2 linked regions of the Mytilus edulis genome follow. The protein of the gene in region 2 purifies or fractionates together with the protein of the main gene of each other region. This does not show direct contact. Links are inferred from orthologs where the notes say so. Each region holds a gene or a part of one and is shown on either strand. Other genes may lie near its edges.

Region 1 (7,537 bases), on a different chromosome or scaffold from region 2:
TATTTCAGTGACTTGCCTGATTTGACATGGTTCAAATTTTTTGTTGTTGTTACTAACTACAGTACTTGATTTGCCTGATTTAAAATGGTTTAACTTTCTAATCGATATTAACTACTTGACTTGCCTGATTTGAAATGGTGTAACTTTCTTGTTGATACTAACTACTGAGATATTTAAATACTGCACTGATGTCATACTTTCATAGGAAAGAGAGTGTTCCTCTGATTTGGATAAAGTTAGATGAATATCATTTTGATGCGTTATATTTAAAAAATATGTGGATGTTTTCATAACCCATGAGTCTGTGACAATGACTCTTCTTCCATGTGGGCCGGATGTAAATTTGTCAAAACGGCGGAACTCAACATTTATAGAGGATGCCACTGCTCTCCAACTTCCAGCATTATTAGTAAGATAACTAAGTTCTTTAGCAATCGGATGTCTGGACCAATTGTCTGTAGACCAGTAAAACACAACAGCTGATGCAATTATAATAATAAAGAGGCTAATTGTCAAATATATCTGCCAATACCATGCAAAGTAAGGAAACCAATAAAGATGTTGAAGAGGCGAGACATATCTCAGTCCTAGAAAATAACCTGAAATGAAAAAAAAATTGTGCCACTTTAATTTATACTATAATATGTATACTTTAATCTAATCAATAAAACACATTGCAAACAAGACTTATAACCATGATAACCCTGCCTTTAACCTTTTGTTTATAATATTGATTACTAATAATTTTTTATCAAGGTTAAAATGGTGTTGTGTATTACAAATGTTAAAATAAAAATGAGAATGGAAATGGGGAATGTGTCAAAGAGACAACAACCCGACCAAATAAAAAACAACAGCAGAGGGTCACCAATAGGTCTTCAATGTAGCGAGAAATTCCCACACCCGGAGGCGTCCTTCAGCTGGCCCCTAAACAAATATATACTAGTCCAGTGATAATGAACGCCATACTAATTTCCTAATTGTACACAAGAAACTAAAATTAAAATAATACAAGACTAACAAAGGCCAGAGGCTCCTGACTTGGGACAGGCGCAAAAATGCGGCGGGGTTAAACATGTTTGTGAGATCTCAACCCTCCCCCTATACCTCTAACCAATGTAGAAAAGTAAACGCATAACAATACGCAGATTAAAATTCAGTTCAAGAGAAGTCCGAGTCTGATGTCAGAAGATGTAACCAAAGAAAATAAACAAAATGACAATAATACATAAATAACAACAGAATACTAGTAGTTAACTGACATGCCAGCTCCAGACTTCAATTAAACTGACTGAAAGATTATGATTTCATCATATGAACATCAGGCACAATCCTTCCCGTAAAGTCTATTAATATAACAATAAAAATTCTAAATATAAGAGACTTGGAATTTTGTACATTTATACTAGTCCAAATAATTATGACGTCTGGCAAGGCTATTTTTTTTCTTTTTGGGAAGTCGTCCCAGAAAATAAATAAAATAGCCTTGCCAGACGTCATAATTATTTGAACTACATTTATACCAGACACCTAAACGTTAACATTGCTGACAGCAATACAATTGATTGTTTCATTGCATTAAAGAGAAAATAAGGATTTTATTGCAAATCAAGCCAAGGTATTTACAGAAAATCCAGACATTATCACTTTTAACATGTTTAATACATAAATTGATTTGTCTCTATAACATTTCAAACAGACTGCTCACTTTATTTTTTGAACATGTTGTGCTTATGTTTATGGTTACCAAAATAATCCTAAACAACCAATAAAAAATACCTCCACTGAATTACTTAAGTTGAGCACACCATAATGGTGTACTTGAATTGGTACAAGTTTGTACTTGTTTTAAGGAATTCACTGCTAGCACTGCATGCAGTAATTCCCTATTTTATCAAATACAAAACTGTCAAATATAGGAGTACAAGAGGAAGGGCTGTGGTTTTTCTATAACATCTCCAAATATTTAGCTAGACATAAATAAAATCTCAGGTTCAGTACTGAAACAAAAAAAGGGTACATGATCCTGAATAAAACCCTAGCTATATATATATTGATACAAATAAAATCTATGATATGTCTCTTGATAAAACCAGTTAAGATGTACCCATCACCTCAGTGGCAGCTCAAGGGGGGGGGGGGGGGGGGGGGGGTTAGGGCAATCTAATTAAAAACCGATCTCTCATCGCTTCTGTTTCTGATATGTCGCGTGGGAGATCTAACGACACCGGCTTTGAGGTCACATGTGAGTGAACTAAAAGTCATGAATTTATAAAGATATGCAAATGAGTTGACGACCTATTAATAAGCCAATCAAAAAAGTTTATGAATTATTATGACTGACGATTTCGTCGTAAATAAAATGAGTTAAATCCCTTTGCCTTACGTTAAACTTCCAAGATCGTGGAAGACTCAATTTCATTGGTCGAAAAAGACACACCTACGAGGTCACTCACATGTGACCTCAAAGCGGGTTTCGTTAGATCTCCCACGCGACATATCAGAAACAAGAGCGATGAGAGATCGGTTTTTAATTAGATTGGGGTTAGGGGTTCACCGGGGTCGGTGTTGGAACCTCCTTTTATTTTGACATTAATTAATATCAATACCCCTATGGGCCTTTAATTGGAAAAAAAGAAAAATATAATATATATCTTATCTTATCTAACTTATCTGGTCCGTTATGGTTTGGAACCCTTCCCCTTTTTTCTTAAAATAAATGGCTGGATCCGACCCTGCACATATAAGTGAATGAAAAGCAACACTTGTATATGGTTACCTAATGGAAAACATGAATGAATCAACAGTGTCGCAGCTGTTCTTTTTATGTGAAAGTAGATAAAACCAAGTTCTTCACTCCCAAGGAAACTTGCCAACATATTTTGAACTGTCAAACCGGCAGCCACAAATTCAGTAGGTGGTGCTATCATTACCAGACTAAAAAATGTATATCCGAGTGTATAAATAGCAAAAAGTGTCGATTCTTCGTTTGACGACATTTTAGTAATAATAGTTTGGCAATCGATCGTCTACTTTCAATTTACACAGAATTTTACATGTGGAGGTACTTTTGCTATAAATATAACTAATGACCGAAAAGATGTTTGACTCTAGCAAATCACTGTTAACAGCCACTTTTAAATCTCAAATACTAGCCGATGAAATTGTGAAACAATTTTAAATTTCACAGAACATTTGTATCACTTCTATCCTTTGTAAAAGACACATACATGTATTTATAGAGAAATTAATGTTTTGATTCGAGATTAAACTGTCAAGAAATGGTTGTCCTCCCCTAAAAAAAGCAGATGCTCCACAGGGCGCAGCTTTATACGACCGCAGAGGTCGAACCATGAACAGATGGGGCAAGTATGGACACAACATTCAAGCTTGATACAGCTCAGAGTTTGGAATGTGATTAAATAGTGGACACAGCAAAGGTTTCTGACACAGAATAAATGTGATCTAATGAACTTATTTTTTTTTGCTTTTGAGCAATATACTATGCAGTTGAATATTAATCCCCTAAAAAAGAAATATTTGAAGAAAAATTCTTTTTAATTTCTGAAATCTGAAATAAGAAAAATTCTATACCCCCTCCCCATTTTTTTTCTCACTTCCCCTGTTCCCTTATTCCAAAAATAATCTCATTTCAAATTTCATGTAAAGTGGAGTTTGCAACAATAACTACTCATTTAAATACATCATGAAGTATATTTATTTTATATGTCTTTTTGAGTTCGTAATTAAATTTTCTATCGCGAAACAAGGGCTTTTGCTCGGGCTTCCGAAAAGAAGGGCTCCGGGATATGCGGACTAAATAAACAATGTTGCCTATGTATGATTTTTTTTACACCCACTGCATTTAAACTCTTGTGGATAGTTGTCTCATTGGCAATCACACCACATCTAACTTTATTTCAACTCCAATGTTGCATTTTATATACTGCAATATTGTTTTATTTAGTACCATATCCCGGAGCGCTCTTTTCTGAAGCCCGAGCAAAAACCCTTGTTTCGCGATAGAAAATTTAATTACGAACCCAAAAATACATATAAAATACCTCGAATTTTAACTAAAAATCTTAATTAATCTAAATGAGACTTAAATTCGAATCTTACTAAAACTCTAATTCAAGAAGTGACTCAAATTCAAAGTTGTAACTATAACTCTGCCTTAAAATGTGAGTCAAACTCGAAACTCAATGCTAACTAGAACTTTAATTCTAAGCATAACTTAACTAGCTCAAATTTTAACTCAAACAGTAACCCGAACTTTAATTTGAACACTAATTAGATAGATGGCCACACGCATGGCACATACAACATGGACATCTATCTAAAAATAGAACAGGTTTTTCCGAATTGGTCACCTGGTCACGTGGTTTTACCTCATCAAGTATTGGGATAACCACATCAAAGAATGACAGGACCACATCAAAGAATGACAAGACCACATCAGAGACATATAATACAAGAGATTCGCAACTCTAGTAAAATCCAAGTAACGATAAATGAAATCACGTGAGACCGGACGTGATTGGGATTATAATGTGACCTGGGATGATAAAGAGAAAATTCCGCCATTGTTGTTAAGAGAGACGATACGCTTACAGATTTGTTTTCTCGTTTATGTCGATTGTTTTCACAGCCAAAGCATGTAAGTATATTCAAAAGATACATCGAACTAGTTCTACCAATTTGTTTATACTATAATGTGCAAAGATGATGATAATAATCAAATGCAGACCAATTTAAATTTGGTCCATTCAGCTTCCCCTCTTTATTGCTGTAGAACCGGTGTGGCCCACCATTTTTTTTCTTCATAAAACTTAGAAATTTACGATTATATATGCAATTTTATAGTGTTATTTTACTCCCGATTGTTATCCCGTTAAAATGATACTATTTTCGTATATTTTGATCAAATAGTGTTTTCATAAAATACCATCAAAGGTGATTTATTTTTTTCACATTGATACCCACATGACCCAAATCCAGCTATGCGAGAATTACCTTTTTTTCATAAAACTTTGAAATTATCGAATAAATATGCAATTTAATGAGCCTGTATTAATTCCAAATGTTATCTTGTTAAAACAAGATCAGCAGGGCATATATTTGTATACCATGGACATGTACACATTCCCAATATATTCCTCTTTTCTTTATAAATGTTGCCCATTATTCTCTATTCTTTATTTATTTTAGCACCCCATCATTCTCCAATCTTGATATTTTGATAAATTGTTTCCTCTTGTCTTTACTTTTCTGATTTCAGTTCATGCAGTTATTCCAATACTCTTATCGTATGAATGTATGACAGTTTCAGAAAGTCACAGGACAAAAAGTCACAATTTATTTTTTCTGATTATTTTCTTTGAACAAAAATTGCTTATTTCTATTCTTAAACTATTGTATATAAACCAACTTTGTAAACTCAAATTATCAAAAACATATCAAAGATGATCAAACAATTGTTAAAAAAACAAAGTGTCAAACTGGTTTGGCACTTAAATGGCTTCATGCTGCCAAGAAATCTTTCTTTTGCATGATTAAAATTTCAAAAATCTTCATTTTTCAAATATAATGACACATTTATTAAACTTTAATATGAATACATGTATTAAAAAGTAAATATTTAAAGATATTTCTCTTATATATACAAACAATTGTCAACAGATTATTTGTGACTTTTTGTCCTACCAAATTTGTGACTTTATGTCCTGTGACTTTCTGTCCGTTTACCTTTTGTAAACACCTTCCCATTGGCGGATCCAGCCCCCCCTTTTTTTTTGAAGATCAATAAATTTGAATGGGGACATGTGGTAGGTAAAACATGTACAGGTATGATATAGGTAAAAAATATTAACAGGTAAATGTGGCGCAATTAATACCATCAAAATAAAAGAGAGTGGCGCAATTAATACCTTTTCAAAACTGCAATTGGCGCAAATTGATTCTGCCCATTTTCAGAAAGAGTGTGGACACCTGTGGTGTAGTAACAACTTCTTGTGTACCAGGTGTCAAATAAAACTCCTTTTAACAGGTTGTGATTTACCTGACCATCGAATCTAGCCTAATATACATGTCACACTGTGAAATTATGTCTCCGAGACAGGTGTATATTTGATAGAAACCCATTATGAAGCTATCAAATAAAATAAACCCTGATACAATTTATTAAGTGCTTATTATTTAATATCGTTTTTATTTTTAATTCAATATCAAATTATGTTTCTTTTTCAATAATACAAATAATACAAATCAAAATTAAAATGACATTGAAATAAATAATTATGTATGAACTCTAATTATTTAATTAATTATGTTAAATTTAACACCGAAACAGTTATAATTTATGCTTAAACATTCACCCTTACTTCGAGTGCTTTTAATACTTTGATAATGACTCCATTACCCAAAGAGATCTTGCGAGGTTTAAATCTGGCCGTGTGATATTACGGGATTTCGACGAGTTGCCAATCTCTTGTATTATATGACTCTGACCACATCAAATAATGAAACAAACACATCAAGTAGTGTAAAATCGTCAAATTTGGAAACATCATTACGTAATGTTAAAACCATATGAAGAATAGACAAATCATCGTTACGAAATAACAAAACCACATCATGTAATGAAACAACTTCATTACGTTAAGTCACATACACATCAAGTAATGTTAAAACCACATTGACTAATGACACAACTATATTAAATAATGGTGAAACCACATCTAGTAATGACAAAACCGTATTGAGTAATGACAAAACTATATCAAGTCAATACGAAACCATATCGTGTAATATCGAAATATCATTAAGTAATGACTCTTCCATATTGAGTTATATTAAAACATCATTACGTAATTTCAAAACCATATTAAGTAGAGACAAAATATCATTAAGTGATATCAGAGTTACACATAAGACAGCTGTGGCGTTCCATAGTTTTTCATTGTTTAATTTATTGATATCATACATCAAACAAATTACATTATGTACATTTGTTAACATTGTTTCATAACATTTATTTATTTTTTTTATTCTGTCTTACATTTATGTTTTAGAATTTCTGACATTTAATTCGACGCTTTTTAAAACAGTGAAATGTCTTCATTTTGAAATTTGATTAAGTCACACTACCCAAAAACATTATATAATATTTTTAGATCAACGTTTTAAATGAAACCGTTATTGTTGTACATCGGGAAAGTAAAAAACTCGCACATATACAAATGTCTTCGTGTTCATGACACTCTAGTGATGATTATTGAAATGTTTTGTCTCATGGCGAAGATGATAGTATCCCATTCATTTATCAATACAACAAAACAATTCGGGAAAACGTGGTTTAGATACTTTTCTTTCATTTGAGCATCATCCTTTGACTTCAGTTTTTGCTACAAATATGATGTACTTTCACTAGAGGCCTCGGTAGCCGAGTGGTCTAAGTAGTTACTATGTGAACGTCAGTTGTCACGTTCAATGAGACATAGCGTAATAAATTTGATTTTTAAAAAGAAAGGCGACA
Region 2 (8,065 bases):
CGTAGAAGTTAAAAATAAAAAGTACAGGTTCCAGCCCCGGCGCCGGGGAGGAAGTTACGAATCAAATCTACTCTAACATCGTTAGGTTGATTTTCTAGGCACTTTATGTATGTATATATATACATATATATATATATAACAGCTTTTTTAAAAATAATTTAGGAAAATCATTGAACTGTGAACAAATGCAGTTTAATTCTATCTTAAATAACTTGCATCACATCCTATTTTTTTTCCAGTAATGTTGTTTGTAAAGCCTGTAAATTTAGATAAGATCTGTGTACACTCATTGGTGCTGTGAGTAAACTTACCAGTATTCTCAATGGATATCAAGTGAACACCATAGGAAAATCTTAAGAGTATTGTTTTTATCCATTCAAAAAATGATTTAGTTTTCTATAAATCAAACAAATAATTAAGGCAGTGGCTATTTGACTGGCAACGGCAAAATAGCAAATTTGCTATTTGACCGGCACTGGCAAAATAGCAAATTTGCTATTTGACCGGCACCGGCAAAATAGCAAATTTGCTATTTAGCCGGCTCTGATTAAATCATATCTAACTGGAATTAAAATTTAAGAATAATAATTAAATATCAAAATTTTCTATCTAAAAACATTTGTTACTGTTGCTCATATAAACACTTAAGGGGACGACCATTTGATATTCTGGGGGGTGGGGGGGGCAGGAGGATTTGTTTTTGATCGGTTATTTATTTTTGTAAACTAAGAGGACAGATTATTCATTTTCTGCACCGTTGAAGCAAGATTTTTCATTTTAATTAAAGCAAGGGACTGATTATTCATTTTTACAACTATATTTTTTATATTCGAAATTTTTTTTGAAGGGTTTTGGATCCACTGAAGGCCCAAGAAGCTATAGAACAAATGATGCAAAATCATGCTTTCTGGATGTTCCGAAGACCCTTTGATAATCTGAAAATTAAGTTTTGTTTAAATAATTTTTATGCCCAACCTACACTAGTAGAGGGGCATTATGTTTTCTGGTCTGTGCATCTGTTCGTTCGTCCGTCCGTCCGTTCGTTCGTCTGTGCGTCCGTTCAGGTTAAAGTTTTTGGTCAAGGTAGCTTTTGATGAAGCTGAAGTCCAATCAACTTGAAACTTAGGACACTGTTGCTTATGATATGATCTTTCAAATTTTAAAGCCAAATTAGACTTTTGATTCCAATTTCACGGTCCAATAAACATAGAAAATGAAAGTAGGAGTTTCAGGTTAAAGTTTTTGGTCAAGGTAGTTTTTGATGAAATTGAAGCCCAATCAACTTGAAACTTAGTACAATATGTTCCCTATAGTATAATCTTTCTAATTTTAATGCCAAATTAGATTATTACCCAATTTCACGGTCCATGGAACAGGATAGTGTGAGTGGGGCATCCGTGTACTTTGGACACATTCTTGTTTGACAATATTTTGGTCTCAAAGCAAAATGTATAAATTCAGAGTTAGACTGAAATTTCTAGGGACAACATCAAAAGACCAATGTGCATGATAAAGCAAAAATGGAATTCGCATAGTTAAGCCTATGGCTGCTGGTTTTTTTTTTAAACTCATGATCAAGTTCATAACAAAATTACTAGATTACAAAAGAAATGCAACACTAACAGAATACAGAAGGGCAATCAATGAACAAAAGACAAATAAATAAGAAACATTGATCCCGAAAAATCAGGGCTATAAGTCTGAGGGAAAACAGAACTTTCTTCTTGCAAGGTCGTGAACACAATTTGATATGGAGACAAGCGTTTGGTTTTGAAATTTTCTACATGTAGTTACGGCCCTGTTTAAATAAAAGTGAGGTATGTTTCCTGAGACAATATACCTCAAGTTAAATGAAACCAATTTTCAGAAATTTCAAGTATATTTAAATAATATTTATACTTTTGTTATTAAAAAATTTGTGAAGTGTTTCACGATTTTTTTGGGGGAAAAAGATGAATTGATGAAGAATCTGGTGCCATCTCATACTTTCCATTAGACCTGCTGAGTTATTCATTTTCTATACATTGCAAGTCAGGCAATTTATTTTCAAACTACCACAGAACAAACCATTTATTTTTGTGATTATCAAGGCCGAGTTATTTATTTTCAAAATCCTCCTTTTACACAGATTTAAATTTGAAAATCAACATTTTGTTATAAATATTTTAGAAAAAATATATTTAAAAAATGTATTTACAAATGTGTTTTCATGCTTTTAATTAATGTTATAAAGTTATAAATTATTTATTTATGAAAATCTTTTATTTTTTATTGTACTTTAATATTTTAAATGCTTGATATTGTGATAAAATGATTTTAAATTATTATTATAAAGCTTTTTTATTCTCCACTAATCACATCAATGAACAGTTTTATTTAGTGCCGGCTAAATAGCAAATTTGCTATTTAGCCGGTGCCAGTCAAATAGCAAATTTGCTATTTTGCCGGTGCCGGTCAAATAGCCACTGCCAATAATTAATGCTTCAAAACAAGCCATCAACTTTTAAATATTCAACGTGTTGTCATTAATTTCAAGAATGTATACCATTTAAATATCTGAATAAGTTTATTAACCTTTAACATGCTTAATCTCCTTAATATTAAACTTTTTTTTTTAAAGTAAGGAGTTGGTCTCATTGGGATCTAAGCGTGACACAGGATTGCTGATTTTTTGTAAGCATGACACAGGATTGCTGATTTTTTGTAAGCGTGACACGTGAAAGTCAAATTATTGTGCCATGAAGACAGGAAACGAAGTCTAGCAGAACACAGGGAAATTACAAAAAAATTAGAATTGCTAATGTATATACTGTAAGCGGGATACAGGAATCTGACAAAACAGTAAGCGGGATCAGAACCCCCAGTGATACCCCCTAAGGAGAACAATACACCTAATCGCTATTTATTCCATTCCGGATAAGTTCTAAAATTACACAACTTTTTCATCCAGTTGAAGTTATCTGGGACCCTGTTTGAACAATGCACCATGCATGATACTTTTTAATGAGACCTGTTTAAACTACCGTAAATACTTCAAACAAAATATTTTTTTACTTTAATTTTAATTTCGAAAAAAGTGGATCATACTATATCAAAGTTTCTTGATAATCACTTTCTAAAGTTTTTTCTCCCTCAGCTCACTACTGATGACCTCCATTTTTCGGCCGGTGACCCAAAACAGGGAGTTGTATAAATGACTGTTTTTCTCGGAATGGACTAAATAGCGATAAGGTGTATCCAAGGGCAAACCGACTCGATGGGCACAAATGAACTCAGGGCGAACATGTAAATAGGGTGGACAAACCCAATACCCATCTGACTATAGTCGAACGGCTGATTGATAAAGCTTGTCTAAAACAGTGTAAGTTCTTTATATTAAAGGGACTTGTAATTGTTAGGATAACAGGTAAATTTTGGACTTCCAAATTGATATAGATTTTTTGCTTTGATATTACATATTGCAGCACACAGGAAATCTAAATCTGTGCAGCTCATTGCTTGTTGAAAAGGGTAGAAAAGCACTTTTTAAAATAAAAAAAACAATTGGACTAAATAACCAATGCAAGCTATTAGAAAAATTATTTGACTCCCTAGTTGTGCCTATTGCTCTATACGGAAGTGAAGTATGGGGAATAGGCAAACAACACAGGGATTCAGATCCCTTTGAACACTTGCAGTATAAATTTATTAAAGAAATTCTAGGAATACATTGTAAAGCATCAAATGCTGCATGTTTAGCCGAGCTAAATAGATTGCCTTTATATACCAGAATAGAATTTTCAGCAATAAAATATTGGCTTCATATACTTGAATCAAATAATTCACTTGCCCTAAAAATATATAAAGCAACTGAAAAAAATAACTCTTGGATAATAAATATGAAAAATCTCCTTTCAAGACTTGGTTTTCATTTTATTAATCTAAATCCTATTGATATTAAGATGTATTTAAAACACATTCAAGAGAGAATCAATGATATAGCCTTCCAAAAGCAAGAGACTGACATCAATCAAAATAAAAAAATGAACTTTTTTAATATACTTTATAAACCAAATAAAAGACCCTCGTATGTTGATCAATGCAAATCCAAAAGTGATAGATCAACATTATGTAAATTGAGGTTAAGTGCTCATACTTTATCTATTGAAAGAGGGCGATATCTAAAAATACCAAAGCAGAATAGGGTATGTCTTTGCTGTAACAATGAAGACATTGAAGATGAACTTCACTTTCTTTTAAAATGTTCCTCCTATAAATATGTGAGAGATAACCTTATTAAAAAATTAAATAATGTTCTATTGAACAACAAATTTTCTTCCTTATCATATAACTTACTTATATCAATTCTAAATAGTAATTCCCAAACAATATTAAAAATTGTTGTCAACTATTTGAATGAATGCTTGTTGGTGAGAAACTCATTATTAAAAGGTACTTGATTTTTGTAATAATGTATATTATGCTTCTCATTTATTTTTTATATATTTCTCTCATAATTATCCACTGTCACTCCTTCATTGTATATATATGTTATTGTAGTTAGTCTTTAATTTGTTGCCATAACCATTTATTGTCAATGTGTTAGTGCTAATAAAGTTATCTTATCTTATCTTATCATATTTCATACCCTGTAAATTTTGAATTTTGCTTCCCTAACTTATTAGCATTGCAGCTTCATTAAGTGTGGTTAGTATTGCTCTTCTAATAAACAGTGATGTTTACTATTTTTCGGGACCAAACATGTTTTGATTTGTCGCGCTTTTATAAAATTATAGATTTTTTAAATTCATAAAAATACGAACTCTGCGGTAAATTAAGTTCATCATTGCAGTGATTATAGAATCTCATCTAGCCTTAAATATCAATTCATTTAAAGTTCTACCTTATAAATACATTGAAGATACATGTTATATTCGAAAAAAGAAAATATAGGTATCTCTTAATATTAATTCGTTTTATAAATTAATATATGAAAAATTTATACTTTTGTAAACTTTTGGGTTTAAGAGATTTCGTCAGAGAAAAGTCCCGAGCTAACCGATGAATGTTTACTTCCGGTGATAATCAACTTTTTGAGCGAAAGCCACGTCAGATTTACACGGTTTAAATATATAAAGTAGAGTTGTGTCTTAATGACAATTGATGATTTGATATACTGAAACTTCATTAAAGAAACAAGATGTCCTCGAATGATATCGGGGATTGGTACCGCAGTATTCCGAAAATAACGAAATGGTGGTTTTCAGGATCAGTTATTATACCAATAGCAGCGAAGTTGGGACTTCTGAATCCTATGTGGTTGTTTCTACATTATGAATCCTTAATTTACAAATTTCAGGTACAATGAATTAGTATTACATTTGAGTTTTTGTGATTTGACATTTGCATAATTGCTAGCCTTTATACACCTTATCGCTAATCCTGGGTGAACAGGCCGCTTGAACTTTTGACGTATACAACAATCACTTTTCCATTGTGGAGTCAGATATTTTGTTTATGACATTAAAATTTTACGGGAACCTGTGTGATATCCAGTAATAGTGGACATATATATAGCAATAAGGTGTATAGCTATAGATAGTCGGAGATTACTCTGACGTCCAACGGCTGTTTTGCCAGACAAGCTGGGGCCGTGGGACGTCAGAGCTTGTCCCATATCAAAAAGTGGATATTTGCCCACCCAAAATAGATGCGCTGCTTCGTCGCTTCTGGTGCCGACTGGCGGCCTTGGAATCATATAAATCGGGCATCAATCTGTTCATTTTTCATTTATCTCTTCATTTATGTAAGTTTCACTTACCTGCCAACCTTTATTTTCCCATATATATTAACAGTTTTCACAGAGACCCATCGATTTCTGCATTTTGACTTTCATTTTTAAAGATTATCACGTGACCACGAGAAAACAAGTGATGATTTATGCAAATGACCATATTCTAACACCTCATTCATTTACGATGCAAGTAATCTAAATGTCCGAGGGCTTCCGATTGTTATCGTGGTTGGCACTAAATGCTAAATACCGATCTCCTGTAAAGGAGGCGAAAAGTTGTGGTTGGTTACTAAATGTTAAATATCGATCTCCTATATATAAAGGAGGTGATAAAAGTATAATTATTTGCATATTTGAGTCTCGAGGTCGCAAAATCCCTCGTAACTTGAAGTCCATTTGAAAACAAAAGAAAAATGTCTGAATGGATGGGTCTCTGTGAAAACTGTTAAAATATGGAAACCTTTATTTTTCCATATTTTAATCGTGCCAACCACGATAACAATCGGAAGCTCTCGGACATTTAGATTACTTGCATCGTAAATGAACGAGGTGTTAGAATATGAAAACTGTTAATATATATGGGAAAATAAAGGTTGGCAGGTAAGTGAAACTTACATAAATGAAGAGATAAATGAAAAATGAACAGATTGATGCCCGATTTATATAATTCCAAGGCCGCCAGTCGGCACCAGAAGCGACGAAGCAGCGCATCTATTTTGGGTGGGCAAATATCCACTTTTTTATATGGGACGAGCTCTGACGTCCCACGGCCCCAGCTTGTCTGGCAAAACAGCCGTTGGACGTCAGAGTAATCTCCGACTAAGCTATAGACAGGTCCCCAACACTACATAAATTATTACCGAATGCAAGTAGACTTGTACCAGTTGTGGTCAACATTTTTTAATCAAAATCGGTTTGGCCGAAATCATATTGCTTTCATTTTTGTTCGCCCCCATTTAAGTTGGCGCCCCAATCTTAAATAAATTGCAATCAATGATTAATCATCTAATCACAAAACAAATATTTCAGCTTGTTTAAAGCCACTATAATCAGCAATTACAACTAATAAAAAAATCATGCATCTAAGACTGAATTAATTTGTCTATAAGTACACATCCATCGATCATTCAATGGATTTAGTGTAAAGACCACATTATAAACAGTTTGAGAAAAAGATGACATTGTGCAATGAAAAGATACAGTTATTGACAGATTGTAGATTAGATTGTATTAGCCTTTTTTTGAACATTCTGTACTTGTTTCCTCAAATATTAATCAAAAGATTCACATATATTTGTAACTTTATAAACCTTTAAAAGATTCATCATAACAAACCATCAAAAATGCATATGCATTTGTAGATACATTGTACAGCCAAAAAAATCATGCTCGTGCAGTTGGAATTGGTAAAGCCAAAGCATCCACTAGAATTCAAACTACATTTGTAAGAATCACTTTAATGTAATTTTTTAGTTTCATATTACTGTTTAACTTTCATGACTTTGTGATAATTATACTTTCACAATAATGGTATTGTGATTAGAAACTTTGAATCTAAATGAATATTGTTCTAAAATGTATCTTTTGTGATATCTATTTTCAGTTTTGGAGGCCATTGACAGCTGTACTATTTTATCCAACAGGATTCCCATATTTGATAAACCTTTATTTCTTATATTCTTATTCTATCAGAATAGAAACAGGTATGTTTACTATTACTACAAAAATATCATTTATATGTGCTAGTTCATGTTACAAACAAGTTGTCTGCACTGTTTACATGTATATGTCCTATCTGTATAAAAAAAAAAGAAGATGTGATATGATTGCCAATGAGACAACTCTCCAGAAGAGACCAAATGACACAGAAATTCACAGCTATTGGTCACTGTACGGCCTACAACAATGAGAAAACTGACAGATTTATTAATGAACAAAAAAAAATATAAAAAATATAAAAAAACATATATGTTACACAGCAACAAACGACAAAAAAAATTGCAATTTTGTTTTCATTGTCATGCTGTGGTTTGAACAGTGGTTCATGCATAAGACAGCATTTAGCAATTCTGTTTAATAATTATGTAAATACAGAATTTCAATTTAGAAAAATACTAGAGAAATTTCTAATGGCATCATTTCATGATGTACAAATGTAGCAGTCAAAAAACATACATTGTTGACTAATTTACACACTAGTTTTTCAACAGAGCACACATCAAGACGCAAGTGTGGCATCAATATGTCACCACATACTTTTTTGAACATAATGATGATTTTATCTTTTATAAA

Evidence for each region. Proteins that work in one complex are often made in the same cells at the same time.
Region 1: the proteins of derlin-1-like (region 2) and E3 ubiquitin-protein ligase TM129-like purify together in Homo sapiens (affinity purification with western blotting; 3 studies listed by BioGRID). This does not show direct contact. The link is inferred for Mytilus edulis from reciprocal best matches to the Homo sapiens genes DERL1 and TMEM129.

Annotation. Positions count from the first base shown.
Region 1 is NC_092347.1:90,629,513-90,637,049, forward strand, and holds the start of E3 ubiquitin-protein ligase TM129-like, read right to left. Parts: upstream 3,089-7,537; 5' UTR 3,000-3,088; coding exon 2,780-2,999; intron 600-2,779; coding exon 125-599; intron 1-124.
Region 2 is NC_092348.1:63,047,896-63,055,960, forward strand, and holds the start of derlin-1-like, read left to right. Parts: upstream 1-4,971; 5' UTR 4,972-5,179; coding exon 5,180-5,338; intron 5,339-7,376; coding exon 7,377-7,476; intron 7,477-8,065. UniProt on the Homo sapiens protein: Functional component of endoplasmic reticulum-associated degradation (ERAD) for misfolded lumenal proteins. Forms homotetramers which encircle a large channel traversing the endoplasmic reticulum (ER) membrane.